Linked DNA regions of Neodiprion lecontei. The protein of the gene in region 2 binds, or shares a complex with, the protein of the main gene of each other region. Links are inferred from orthologs where the notes say so. Each region holds a gene or a part of one and is shown on either strand. Other genes may lie near its edges.

Evidence for each region.
Region 1: DNA-directed RNA polymerase III subunit RPC3 (region 2) and DNA-directed RNA polymerase III subunit RPC4 share a complex: the UniProt entries of both Homo sapiens proteins name them as parts of the RNA polymerase III complex. The link is inferred for Neodiprion lecontei from reciprocal best matches to the Homo sapiens genes POLR3C and POLR3D.

What each region holds. Positions count from the first base shown.
Region 1 is NC_060260.1:24,685,871-24,694,094, reverse strand, and holds DNA-directed RNA polymerase III subunit RPC4, read right to left. Parts: upstream 6,106-8,224; 5' UTR 6,082-6,105; intron 4,992-6,081; exon of another isoform or gene 4,677-4,991; intron 4,463-4,676; 5' UTR 4,461-4,462; coding exon 4,219-4,460; intron 4,148-4,218; coding exon 4,036-4,147; intron 3,951-4,035; coding exon 3,689-3,950; intron 3,596-3,688; coding exon 3,497-3,595; intron 3,195-3,496; coding exon 3,073-3,194; intron 2,974-3,072; coding exon 2,728-2,973; intron 2,639-2,727; coding exon 2,519-2,638; 3' UTR 2,016-2,518; downstream 1-2,015. Other genes in the region: serine/arginine repetitive matrix protein 1, read left to right, coding at 772-1,268, 1,445-1,657. UniProt on the Homo sapiens protein: DNA-dependent RNA polymerase catalyzes the transcription of DNA into RNA using the four ribonucleoside triphosphates as substrates.
Region 2 is NC_060265.1:6,940,135-6,947,102, reverse strand, and holds DNA-directed RNA polymerase III subunit RPC3, read right to left. Parts: upstream 4,646-6,968; 5' UTR 4,389-4,645; coding exon 4,242-4,388; intron 4,144-4,241; coding exon 4,025-4,143; intron 3,936-4,024; coding exon 3,805-3,935; intron 3,713-3,804; coding exon 3,457-3,712; intron 3,145-3,456; coding exon 2,936-3,144; intron 2,794-2,935; coding exon 2,640-2,793; intron 2,573-2,639; coding exon 2,212-2,572; intron 2,119-2,211; coding exon 1,978-2,118; 3' UTR 1,962-1,977; downstream 1-1,961. UniProt on the Homo sapiens protein: DNA-dependent RNA polymerase catalyzes the transcription of DNA into RNA using the four ribonucleoside triphosphates as substrates.

The DNA of each region.
Region 1 (8,224 bases), on a different chromosome or scaffold from region 2:
CATCACCAGTGAATTTCCTCTCTCTAGACGCCAGGTTCGATTACTGGCTCCATCGTTGATTTTTCGAAATCACCAAATTTTCGAATTTTACATTCTTTCAACAATATTCTTCTTGTAAAAAAATGATTTGCACATCCGCATATCATTCATTAGACGGCTTTGCTTGTCTTACGTGGCTTCTCATCAAGAAGCAAGAATTTCAGATGTAAACATTTCACCTACACATTATATTCTTACTGGTGCTTGAAGAGACGAAAATTTCTTAACACATGTTGAATAATGCTTGATGCTTGATACGGCGGACTCATTCAAAGTTAGTTTCGAATTCACTTGATGATGTATCCTCTTTATTCTTCTCCGACATGTATAAAATAGTTTTGTGTTGCTACATTGTTTGAACACGCATAAACTTGTGAAAGTTTCTTGTGAACTACATTGGCTTGGATTGCACATGTTTTCCGTATCATCCGAGATTTCACTCATCCGAGGTATGCTCTCCCCTTATTACCTCGGATAAACGTGGTTCTACTGTATTGCAAATCCGTTGCAAATTACTAAGGTCTTATCTAATTAAAAATAGAGAACCATTGATGTGAAACTTTGAAACTCACTATGATTAATCGTTTATACTTTCACACAAAATGGATGTGATATTGTGAATTAATAATATAATATAAGCAATTTAATCATCCACAAAATTGATGACAAAGTTGAACGCAATTTCAATGTCATTGATTTAAATTCATGTATGTCCAAATTTTCATTGAACAGATTTGCTGGATGATCGTAGTAAGGATCGCAGGGATACTCGAAAACGTGATACCAGTGGCGACATAGAATCAAGAAAGCGGTCAAAGAGGGAAATTGAGGAAGATCTACGAAAAACTAAAAAGGTGCGAAAAGATTCCACGTCTGATGAAGATGAAATGAAATTGAAGAAAATATCAAAATTAGAAGAGGAGAAATCTAAGTCAAGAAAGTCGAAAAAAGACTCCAGCTCTGACGATGAACCGAAAAAGTCGAGAAAGCGTCGAGACAGCTCGTCTGAGGATGCAAAGTCGAGAAGTAGGAAGTCGAGAAAAGAATCAACCAGCGACGATGAGGGAAGGTCCAAATTAAAGAAAGCCAAGCGGGATTCCAGTTCGGACGATGAAGAAATTGTAGAGCGAGAAAGTAAGAAAAAGAAAAAGGTAGAAGATAGCAGTGACGACGAGAAGGTAAAGAAGAAACGCAAAAAGAAAATGAAGACAAGTACAAGCGAATCTGAGGTGAGAATTTAATGATTTTTGGGTAGCATATAAATTAAGTTACTTGGATTCTGCCTTGCATAAAATAACTGTGTAGGTCTAATACGACATAAATGTTATGAATTGAAGATACCGGAAGCCAAACTTTCGCTGAATCTAATTTGTTTTTTGTTTCTCTTGTTTTTCTTGGATAACAGGATAGTGAAGTGGAGGAAAAGAAGAAAAAGAAAGATAAAAAGCACAAAAAACACAAAAAGCATAAGAAACATCGTAAGCATAAAAAAAAGAAGGCTGTAGAGTCTGAAGAATCGGATGCAAGTGAGGGGAACACGGAAGAACTCGAAAAAAAACTACGCGAAAAAGCCTTGAAATCTATGAAGAAAGGACACAGTATTGAACAAAGTGACTAAATGGATTGTGCGTAATTCATGCAAGATAATGTCAGAGAAGTTGGCGTATTTCAAATAATTATAGGCTGTTATTTCTTAGGTTGGCTATGCCAAAGTAACGATTCACCCGATCCAACAAACAAAACTGATAATTAACGGTTTTGTATTTTAACAGACTGCGGTTGCAATTTTTGAGGCAACTTCTTTGATATTACCATTAAAAAATAATTTGGTATTTATAAAAAAAAAGTACCATAAAAAACTAAAACTAAAACTTACAATAGTTGATTGTATCTATGCTAGTAATTTTACAACTCGTTTTTTGTTGTAATTCTCATGCAATCAGAAATTCAAACTAGAGGTAAAAGTTTTTTTTACGTTTCTGATTGCCAAAAAGTGTTCATACCATGCAGTGTGAAATAATCAATTAATTTGTAAATTAAGTTGACATGTGAAAGGATGTGTGACAATCGAAGAGCATACCTAACATTGTGAAATCGTATGAATCGCGTGTCCGTGAAATAAAAACTGTTTCAACTAAGAAAAACTTGTAACTTTTTTTCCACGTTTAAATACATAAATATCATATTATCACTAGAAATTTTAGTTGAGATGTGAAATAATTAACTTAATAATACAAGGAAAAAATTTACGGGGCCTCAATTTTATCACCCAATGTTTCCGCACTATATTTTATGAGTTTTTTTTTTATGGAATATGATTTTCATGAACTTGCGATTTTTTTAAAGAGTACTTCAATTGCGATATCCCACGCAAGAGAGGGCTTCGAATTTCAGATTTCGTTTAATTTTTACAACAGCCAGAATAATATCTAGTACAATTAATAAGTTAAAACAATTGAAATTTGCTTTTCTCATAAGTTCAAAGATTATCTAACATTGATTCCCAGTCGGGTAAGCAAATAAGGGTACTGCTGACTGAGCCAAGGTTAATAAGTTCGCCTTCAAGTTTTTCAAGGTCCAATTTGGCAGCGATTAGATCCTGAAACAAAAGAAAAGTTTCAACAAATGCACGCCTTTACCCACATGATGACGTTGATAAGATCACAGAATTTTTTCACTTGAACTTACTTGTCTGAAACTGATGTGCGAGCCCACATCTACAATTAATTTGTTATCCCCTAAAACAAGTCTCGCTTGTCCAGATTTTAGTATTTGTAATTTCCCTAGCATTCCTTCCTTCAAGTTTTTCAGCGTACAGTATTCAGTCTTGGGATTGATATCACTAGGATTTGCTGAACCTAAATCGGTTGTTCTTCTCGCTTTTGGATCACTCAATTCATCATCTGTTTTAAGTCCAGGTAGGCAATCGGGAAACTGTAAAGTACAACGTATAATTTACGCCACAGGATAAGGTTCAGTCCAAGGCATATCTGTGCAAAGTGAAAAAAAAAAAAAAAATTTCATCGGTTGTACCTGTAGTAAAATGTAATTATTTGCTTCGTTTGCAACAATTTGTGGAATAGTGATAAGTTTTTTCTCCTCTGTTAGCGATTTCTTCGGTAACGAAGTTTTTGCTGTGTTATGTTCTTCTGATACTGGAAAGAATGGAAAATTTTAAGAATTAATTATTATTGCAACGTTTCGTAATGAATGACAGTAATCATGCACGACATAATTTTTTTTCCTCTTAGAAGATTATTTGTTTCAATACTGAAAAAATTTGAAGTACTTCAATCAGTCCAAATTTTATGATTAAGAAATTAATTAATTTAAGAACTTTAAAATTTGATGATTCAAATCGATGTGCAGTCCGTAAGTATTTTACTTCTGCCATTTGTTTGAAGATTTTTTATTCCATAGATCTGGAAACTCCTACAAAATAATTTTTGTGACGTACCTTTTCCGTTTTCTAAGATTACTGGTTTCACATCTTCATCTAATCCATCAGCCTTTATTACTTGGGGTTCTTCCTTGAATTCTTTCTTGTATAACTGTGCTGGAATGATAAATGAACAAAAAAAAAGTGACAGAAGTTTAGTTGTCTCATCAAACTTGCATGAAGGCTAATTAAAATAGGTTTGATACTGACCATCATCAGCCATAGGTAGCATCACTGGTGCATTTTCCATATCTGGTACAGCTCCATTTTCGATAAAATCATCTCGAAGCAGGTGCTTGAGTTTCTCTTCTTCTTCAGCTTTATCAATCTTCTGGTTTAAATTTAATTTTTGTTTTTCTAAAACAGTACTGGCACTTCGATTGCCGCTCAAATTGCTACCATCTCTGTAACTACTGAATCTTTTTTTGGCTCGTGAAGAATCTGCTATACCACTGGAGAATACTCCGTCAGTCTGCAAAGAGTACATATATACAAAAAATCAACCATGAATGTTTGAACACTGTAATCCAACTTCTGATTAACAAAGATAACCTAACCTGGATAATGTTATCCGAGACTTTTCCTTTGCCTCTACCTCTTGTACTTTGTCCTCTTCCGCGGCCTCTTTCTCTTGGAACTTTAGTATTATTTTTTACAGTAGTGTGATCACTGCAAAGTAAAACAGATTACTACATCTATGATGCCTTGATAACAATAGTATAAATGTGATTCCTGCTTACTCTTTAGCTTTATTTCGTTGTACGTTCAAGTTTGGAGTATACAGTTTTTTTGGTTTTTCTAGTTTCACATGCCCGCCTAGTGTCCAATCTCGTGGCGATCTAAATGAAGTAAGCCTCGTAGAAGGTAGTCCAGCCTCAATTTTCACATTTGTTAACACCGTTGATCCTGATGTACCCGGTTCTACTTTGATCTTTATTTTTGGATCCAGTTCTCTGCTGTTTTTTGATTTATCCGAGTCCATTTCTAAAGGAAATCCAATTAAAAGTCAGTCATGAACCTGGATAACAGTTCAGTTTATATAAAACTAGAAAACAAAGAAATAAAAGCAGTCAAGCAGTTTTATGGCATGACGAGTAAATCTACGCTGATAGTACTAGAGAATTTCAGTAAATTTAGTTAATTTAATTGCTAAATTAACTGACATTCTCTCACGCTATTAATCCAAGATACAAGTTACCTGAAAAATAATATTAATCGATTGCGTTTTCACTCAAATAGCCGTTTGCGATAGTAACATATCCTTACTCAAGCTAACCTAAAATTGGATATAACGTGTATTCGGCGTGTTGACTCGGACTGGTTCAAAATCCAATGCTGATCTGTTTACCAAATATAGTGATGTACTGCCGTTATGTTATAATAGAAAATATTTAAGTCTGCGACAGTTGAAATTAGCCACTGTCCACTAGAATAGTTTATTTGTTTAGACTTATTGTTAGGCCAGGCGTCTGTGGGGCACGTGTGCATACGTACAGTTGCCTACACATGTGTGTTGTATACCGACCGAGCGGACGAATGTTGATTGGCCTGTCGTCCTCCAATCGGAACATGGACGATCTGTCATTTTTTAACGAGTGCGAAATTTACAAACTGTCCTTACGCTTTGACACGCTAGAGATAAAAGAGATTTACAACTTCTTAATGATATCAGTTCGAAGTAAACGAAGTTCTGCGCTTAATGGGAGTACAGAATTATTTCGATTGAGTTCGCTCGATTTATGGTTATTATCACTGTATTATCATTCTGAAATATGCGCAATAATTATTGGCAAATGATTTTTATATGCTTCTGAAATACAAGGGTGCTGCAATACTTCTTTCGCAATCGTGTACATTCCAGTAATCTACGATCTTTAAACTTATTTAATGGTTTAAATATAAATTTTCCGTATGGAAAACATATCTACATCGAACATAGTTTATTTTTCCAAATGTAGTTTTTAAACGTACTAAAATTAATCTTGCTGAAAATAATATCAAGTACTTGACCTCACAACAAAATAAATATTTTACGAGTTAACAATTAAGTAGAACTCATTGTTTCACTTTGGGTTCTTAGTAAACTTATGTCTCTAACTGCGAGGGCTTGATTTTTCATCGGTGACTTAAGTTGCTATTGGTTTCATTGTGTAGGAAAAATTGGAATAGTTTACTACAGAAAGTAAAAAGGACAGGTGCGTTTGGTTTGTTGCATACTGTATTTGATGGGATGGTTTTTGAACTTTGCAGAATTGTCGAAGCTGATCTAATATCAATACTTTTACACAGTGTATGCTTTACACTCCATTGGCAAACAAAAGTTCAATATACCTGCGCATTGACAAAATTAATCTTTATTCACACGGCTATGCGATTCAAAAAATTTGCATTGTAATTTGAAAAATATGTTTCTATTACTAGGCCTGGTTTCAATTTATTCGTAGTACATAGTAGAATATTTCTTTCCTGAAGCAATTTACTGGCATAAAATATCGAAGACTCAATGAAAAATTGATGTAGTATAATTATTTTCGTTCTCCTACCAACTGCATGCTTTTCCATTATTTTTGAAATCGTATTTCACACAAGTCAGTATAACTTACCTCGATTCTATTTTTCAAATTATACCCTCAGGACGTGACCTTTCTTGCTTCGCTGGTAATACTTTTATATAATACACATATATATTGCATTGGAGGATCTATGTCCAGGTTGGCTGTTATATGATATATTAGCTCGGCAAAGGTCGGCAACGAGATTCAAGTTGAGTGGATATTGGATAGTGGATACTGGCTGTATATGTCTACCAACTGCAGGTTATCTTATGCATGCATTGTAAACAATGCAGAATGAGAAAAATGAGAAATATTATTACCCCGTCTCCGGTGTTATGGAACTTGAAAGATAATTCTCTGCGCCACCGCGCGAAACGTGCAGCGTTATCTAATTTGAAGTATTCTTCGTGGTCTGTATACATAGCACGTGTGTATACGTGTACAGTAGTTTGTATACCTATAATCATGTAAGCCATGCTTTTGCATGCGCATTCCTGACGTGCGGACGGTAATACATATTACAATATATCGCTGGCCTAATCGTTAAAACAAAGGTGTGACGGGTTCCGTGTGAAGTTACAAGAATATATCAAACTTCTAAGGAATAGTCTTGCAGCATTGAGTGCGATACGATCGAGCAGCGTCTCTGGTCCATGCGACAGTTATTTGACGACTGTTTTGAAATCCATTATATCGGGTGTTGACATACTTACCGTAAAACTTTGGAATGCTTTTTCTCAAATTTTTCAAATTTTCAGAGGTGAAATTCCGTTATTGCAATTGACTGTGTCTATAATTGTAAACTCAGATCATTCGGGTGACTTACATTCGATTCTTACCTCAGAATTTCAAAATTTGGAAAGGTGGATGCAAAATTCTCAGATTACAGAATAAACCTTAGTATACGGTATATTTGCATCCGAGTTTCTAGGATTTCGCAGACACTGTGGTAATTAAATTTCATGACTAAAATGCATACGTTTTCGTGCTACGAGAAATTGTAATACCGGTTTTATTCCAGTCGTCCTGTTGTTCATATTACTCAAGTTTTATTACGTTCCAAAATTCAAATCAGAAACTAACGGTTGCTTATGTAACAATAACACGAGTTTACAACAATCTAACTATCAGATTTTAAGTCCAACGCCAACACGATTGCGGAATTGATTAACAATCGTTTCTGAATAAGAATGACGTTCTGTATGAAAATTTTCGTTATTCCTAATTTGAACTTATACTCGATGAATTTTTTATTCTTATTAAAAGACACATGATAGAAATTCAGTCGGTGATCCCGCATTACGCGATCATCAGCTACAGGTTTCAGGGGACTGCGTCTGTGTAGCGGAAATATAACAAGTGACTCTAGACAAGAAAAATGACGAACGTTAATCTCAGCGTTATATGTATATCTATATAGGTATGTATATATATATATATGTCTATTTATATCATCAGTAGCCGTGAAAAGTTGACTTGCAATAAATCACACGTGATCGTGATGCGCTGCAGTAATATAGGGCATGTGAAGCGAACGCCCTTCCGCACGTTTCTATTCGTAATAAAAATAATCGGTACGTACGTACGTGATATATAACCGGCCGTGAATTTGTCGAGAGGAATGAAAAAGAAAAAAGATCGGACGTAAAGAGCTGCGATATAGAGTGTCGAGGATCCAGATGAGTTGGCCCCTCGCTATTCTATCACGCGTCTATAGAGTCCCCTCGGAGTCCTGAAAACCAATTCGACCCTCTAGCTCCGTGGCCGATCGTTTTGTCTACGATCAGCGACACGGATCCACCAGCTATAATAAAACGAACGTAGCGACAATCGGCGTCGCCTGTCCCACCAGGGACTCCATTTTCCACCCGTGTGTACAATTATGCAGGGGCCCAAAAAACATCCGAACAACAAAGACGTCTAGAAATCGAAAAAGTCTGTTAGACGACTTTTGCGACTCAAGGGTGTCTCTTGTTCTTTGCACTCCGGTGCTTTTATCGTTTTGTTATTAATCCAGTCGCTAACTACAGGTACGTAAAAAAAAGAACATTTGAAGATGAAATTTTTCTATAGCACAATTTTCTTTTTCTCATCGTTGAGGGGAAGTCGTCGGTAGTCCGAATCAAGAATTTCCATAAGATTCTGCAGTAACTTCAGCTGCCATCTTCAATTCAAGGTGGAATTTGTTTTT
Region 2 (6,968 bases):
ACGAAAATTGAATACTGAACATTTATTATAAATAGTAATAACGTGATAGGTATGTACACATCAGATCCATCTTTAATTTTTGTTGAGTTTGGTCACCGTGTAAGGAATCTATACCTACGTTCCAACGTTCATCTAAACACTGCACACCTACGATAAACTATAATAATTCACTCGTAATCTACAATTCTATAATACTTGTAGAGGGAGAAAAGAACATTATATATATATATATATATTTAAGAATAAAGCAAAAAACAAAAAACGAATAAATCAAAGGCACAAAATCAAAACATATTATTATTACTATTATTATTATTATCATTAATACTATTGCCATTATTATTACTATTAATATAATATGTTGAACCATCCGGATTTTATGTGAAACGCAGCTAATCCTAATTGAATCTTGATATCTGTTGAAACCCATGTTTAGATTTTCATCACTGCATACAATTGCGCACACATAATGCATAGATAGAATTTACAATTGATTTGTTCCTACGGGAGTATTAATTACTGTCCGGTAAAAGAGTGTTTGGGTGGACGATATAATAATGAATATTATTTAATCCAAGAAAACGCCGGAAAAATTATCGCTTCTGCATCCAGGCGAGTGATGAGATTCGTGATGTATATATACCTATAATTATATTTTATCATGAAGTATAGTTAAAAAATCCACGTTTTGCGACGAATACCTAGTCGAGTATGATAATCATAAACGCCATAACGCACAGCGTTTATTATCCGCATTGATTGCCCATAATATCGTTTTATACTCGTTTAGTTTCACAGAGTGCCGATTAATTGTGCAACAAGACGTTATTTTTATGATAATTTGCCTGTAACGGTGCGATGTATAAAAGTCATTATTATACGCGGTTCTCGCATGAGTTGCAATTTTTAAGATTTATTAACAATAATATTACACTTACGAATGTTATGTTTCTCAATTACCGAATCGACAAGGTTCACATATCCATGATGAATGTATTATTATTATTATTATTATCATTATTTTTGTTTCAATCAGTCACAATTATATGAAATCGTTGAAAAATCTTTAACAGATTTCCACCCCAATCTCGGGTACTTCTTACATAAAAGTACGACCTTTCCAGCAGTTAATAGCGACACTCAAATGCTGAACTGTTGTATCCTGATATTTAGGAGAGCAGTACCAGCAGTACTATCGGTACATACATACATATATATATATATATCTGTATATATATATGTGTACATATATATATATAATAATAAACACACAGATATATCATTATATTTATTGTAATAATTTAAAAGTTAGGTACTCTTTGTTGTTAGTATTTTACATGCGTAATCATTATTATTAATATTATTTTTATTATTATTATTATCATTACATATTAATAAAATACCCGTATGAAATAAACAATATGTTATATCGGTTGTCGTAAATTATTTTTATTACCTTTTTACTTCAGTTATTGGCCAAAGTTTTTCTGCAATAATATGTCTGTGCGCGCAATATGATGTGTCTGCTCGTGATGCAATAATGTAACGATTCCGAGATTTGGCGAAAAACAAACGGTACGTAAACGAAACTATAGCGTATAAGTCTTGAAATTTATGAAGTCACTAAACTTCTTGGTTATTTATAAAACGAACAGTTGAACAGTTATATTTATTTTCTCACACTTACTTGAAACTTACCAGCGTTCTTGTTCATTTATTTACATCGCTTTGATCTACAGTATAATGTATTTATATGTTTATGAGCATTTCATTGGGTTGGAATCTTATTTGAACGCCCTTACAAACAAAAAAATATTTGGATCCCGAGAATGCCATCGAAGCACTCCTAGTTTTCTCTATGTTACCAATGGTAGTCATCTTTCGAGATTCTCTTGGATCGCCGAGGTCACTGGCTTTATGAAATTTGTTCATTATTCTTGTCTCATTGTCAAACAACGTGATTGAATATCAAAGTTTTTATTTTTCTTGATACCGTGAATACATTGTCAACAAAAATAACGTTTCATCTATCTGTAGTTCGCTGGCACCAAGTTTTTTAATTATGTCTTGTACTTTGCCCAGTTCTAACTTTTCAGACGGGGTCATCATTTCCGCTATCTGTAAATATAACGGGAAACAAATCAATTTCAGCTTAATAAGCATTCCTTAAAATCGGGTTAAAGACTTAATTATATCTATCAAAATACCGACATCGTTTAACTGTTCTTCTGTGGCCCCATGTTCCTTCAAGTTACTGGTGAGCGTTTGTACCCGCAAGTGTTTCTCAATCATCCTCTTATTCACCGTGTTTTCGTGATCCCGCCGCTGTATGGTATTATAAAGAGCATGATAGCAGTGACTTATTTCCATTCCGACAACCTGATCAAGGTCTATGTGAAAAAGGAAGAATATTTTTGTCGGGGCATTCGAAACCGTCGTCTTCTTTAATTCTTGTACATGGATATAATTCTCCTGCAGCAACGTGTACGTTAAATGCTTAGCTTCCTTAGCAGGTATCATCGCCAACTGCTGGATCTGTTCCTGCTCGACGTATTTTCTTGTACGTACCAATCTGCGACAGAACATCTTATTACTTACACGTTATATGAGTGCTGTTTGGTAATATGTTGAATACTGACCTAAATATTCTTGCAGCCTTTGATCCGAATCGTTCAAGGACAATATTCTCCAGAGTAGTCCACGTTAACTGTGTGAAAGCTTGTTTCATGTTTATGCTAAACTGTCCACCTCCGCTATCTCCAACCCTTTTTAAAAACTGGCAAGTATCTTCCTCTGCAATTACACGATTTCATTTTTTTTTCTTTTCATTTAATATCTCTGGAATTAGAGATTCAAGATTCTGAAGATATAATGCTATTTGAATGGTCGTTGTCAGTGACTGATATCAGGTCAATAATCAAAATAATTTACTGACCAATAAGGCACAAATATTGATCTAGGTGTTGAATTAACATGGGATATTTCAACTTTCTAACTGCATCCTTTATTTCCACGTAAGGTATAGGATTTGACGTTGCCCTCCACTCAGCTGTGCGCAAGTACATTAGATTCAGCATTTGCCTCATTAGCTCTCCGGCATTATCATCAAAACGCTTAGTGATAGCAGAGACCATGATTTGATCCCTGAAATGTAATATACCACGATAAAGTATGAGGTTGAAGTTCTTAGCGTTATCGTAACAACGCAGTTTCATAAAAACTCGTTATTTTGCAATATTGAAATTTTCTGGAATTTAATAAACCATAATACAGACGGACAAACTTGTATTTGGTAAATTGAACTCCGTCAGTTGATATGAAGCTGTGAAATGTGGACGTTTATTTCAACATTTGGTTACTCTAACATTACTAACTTCAGTCTCATTAGAAAGTTAATGAATGCAAATGACTTTATTCATGCAAGTTGATAATTTCTCGCGGTTTTTGAATTGTTACCTGATATCTTGAGTGAATCTGTCGAAATTAATGCGCCAATATATATTATTGTCTCCAGGGTTTGCTGCGATGCCATTGGCCATTCGAGAAAGTGCCAGGAGATTAAGATCTGGGAAACTAAAGTCAAGCTTTTCTACGTTTAAATCTATAGGGTCCTCTAGAGCAGCTGGCGTAATAATGGAACGCATTAAAAATTGATGCTTGACCAGTGACTCAAATTTTTCTTTCAATATTTCCACCGGTTGTTGGCGGTCACCTGATGATTTGACAAAAATTACAGAATTTACATGTACATATGGCAATCAAACAACGAAGAGTTGAATAAATCTTTTAAAAACAATCGCTCACTCGATAGTTGCTTCAGTCTTTGGTAAGTTTTGACTATTATTTTCGAAGCTGTTTCGTAGCCTCGTCTTAATAGCTCTTCTAGCATAATTTCAGCTTCGTCACCCAGCAGACTTTTGACGAAAAACATGTACCTTGAAGGAAGTTTAGTTTGAGAAGAATAACAGGACAATAAATCGAATATAACTTGCAGCTATTTTAATCAAAGCATTGAGCACGATACCTTGGATATCGCAGGATCATCAAAATTCGCTCGTGAACAATAATATATTCGTTGAGTTTATCATTTTTGCTGTGTTCAACAAATCCATACTTTATAAGAACGCACATCACCTCCTTGATCTGTATATAAATAGAAGAGTTTAGATTAATGGGATAAGATTTAATTCCAATTAATACGTTCTTTCTTTCCAAATTATCTGAAATTGACGAAGCCGTACTTTGTTAAGCGGCAGATTTACAGCTGCTTTTATAGCTCGTAGTGACCTCCGATCGTATTTCAGTAAATCGTCACCCACAGTTTGCACGACAGGTCCAAAATGTTCCAGCAATAAAACGGAACATAATTTACAAAGGTAGATTGACATGTTTCACACATTAAATACAGTATTTGACATAAACTTGAGGTATAAACACGGGTCTAACCTCAAACATAACTTAGCTTTACCTAAATTCACTCTAAATAAATCGGAATGTTTTGAGGTTACAATGAGCGTCGACTGAAAGTAGCCGAATTTTGGGTCATGAACAACTTCAAGGCTGCCAACATCATGCAGCACTAGCCTAGTCTCGAAAAACTCTAGGGTGTATTCCGAAATATACTTTCGGTACTGCCGACCGTGACGTCACGCAGTCAACTGCGAACTGCTTTCCGATTTTACTCCGAATTGCCAGTCGCAGTAAAATCTGAACGCTACTTTCCAACTACACCGAGAACGTGGCCATCTCTCAAGTACTTCAACTACCTCACGTCCCAGCCGCAGTAGCGTCAAGAACGTCACAAATTTGGTGACGTCACTGACTGGCGGCAGTACGCTATCGCGTGATTTCGGAACGCGATTGCCAGTACGTGCAGAACTGCCACAGACATATATGTCTATGAGTACTGCAAGTATATTTCGGAATACACTCCTAGTTAATGTGTGACTAACATTGTCTGATAGAGCCTCGAGTTTAAACAGAATTTGATCACGAAAATAGAGTTAGACGCAACATCAGCTTTGATTAAAGATATATACAGACACACAGCTCTGAGTTATTTTTTGTAGCAATTGGGCGGGTTTAGGCAGGTTTGGGGGTATTAGCAGTTTCACGTATTATCAACGTTGACTAAAGAATATGAAGACGGATACCCCTGGGTAAATTTTGGTGAACAGTTTTCGGTGGGCGAGTGGGCCCAGGTGGACCTGGGAGCGTAAGAGGGTTCTGCTCTATCAACTCTACCTAACGGGCACGCGCCAACATTCGTAGCAGCCAAAGCAGTGTAGATGTGATAGCGTGAGAATGAGTCGGTACAAAGTTAGTACGTAAGACTACTTGTCCACTGCGACTAAGAAATGTCGATCAGCTCGATCATCCCCGTGACAAGAAGCGTGGAGCATCCACCGCCAAACACCCCCAACTGCCACCGATTACCTCGCACCATTTCCGAACACCTCCTACCACCCCCTGCCACCTCCTGCCGGCGTCAACCACCGCCTACCATTTCCGAACACCTCCAACCACCTCCTAACACCTCCTACGTTGACTGAAAAATATGTAGACAGTTGCCCCAATGGGATTTGATGTGACAACCGAAAATCATCGTGCGCTTGCGCTCCCTGAGATGTTTCAATTGTAGAGTTGAGAACTTATTGCAGATCATCGGAGAGTTAACGATTTCGATATGATGCTGGCCGTATGCTGGGTGCATTCACTTTCCGAGTAACACAGTCTTCGCAATCATCATCCAACTATCGCAGAACGACTGCGTTATTAGCTGACCCGTTAACTGAAGGATATATCTTCAGTCAACGGCGGACCATCGAAGGGCCTGGCCGCTTGAGTCTGGAATCGGCAGGAGAGATGAAGTGTGTATTTCTTGTATGAAACGTGAAGACTAAAAGCATTATACATCATATCATATCATCATACATCATACATCATACATCGTACATCATACATCATCATACATAGTATCAAAGTTCGAAACCATAGTTTGGATGTCGGACGTTCAGAAAGTGACGTCACCAATTCAAAATCAGCTAGCCGAATTCCTCAGTCGGGACACAACCGCGCAGTAGAGCGGACGCATGAGAGTCGCGCTCCGCAAATTTCGAGTACCGGGTTCTCAACCTCACGGATCCCGCGCTTCGGGTCCGCTACGTATTTCGAGTACCGGGTTCTCAACCTCCCGGATCCCGCGCTTCGGGTCCGCTACGCGGTGAAACTCGACTTCCAGGATAAGCGCTCCGTGGTTCCTGATTCACGTTTACAATAAATTATTTCAATTCGTTTTTCGAGCAACCCCAAATTCGGTAGCTGTCAGTCCGCTAATAAAATTTCTCGACTTCTAGGATAAGCGCTCCGTGGTTCCTGGTTCACGTTTACAATAAATTATTTCAATTCGTTTTTCGCGCAAGCCCATATTCAGTAGCTGTCAGTCCGCTAATAAAATTTCTCGACTTCCAGGATAAGCGCTCCGTGGTTCCTGGTTCACGTTTACAATAAATTATTTCAATTCGTTTTTCGCGCAACCCCAAATTCGGTAGCTGTCAGTCCGCTAATAAAATTTCTCGACTTCCAGGATAAGCGCTCCGTGGTTCCTGGTTCACGTTTACAATAAATTATTTCAATTCGTTTTTCGCGCAAACCCAAATTCGGTAGCTGTCAGTCCGCTAATAAAATTTCTCGACTTCCAGGATAAGCGCTCCGTGGTTCCTGGTTCACGTTTACAATAAATTATTTCAATTCGTTTTTCGCGCAAGCCCAAATTCGGTAGCTGTCAGTCCGCTAATAAAATTTCTCGACTTCCAGGATAAGCGCTCCGTGGTTCCTGGTTCACGTTTACAATAAATTATTTCAATTCGTTTTTCGCGCAAGCCCAAATTCGGTAACTGTCAGTTCGGTAATAAAATTTCTCGACTTCCAGGATAAGCGCTCCGTGGTTCCTGGTTCATGTTTACAAT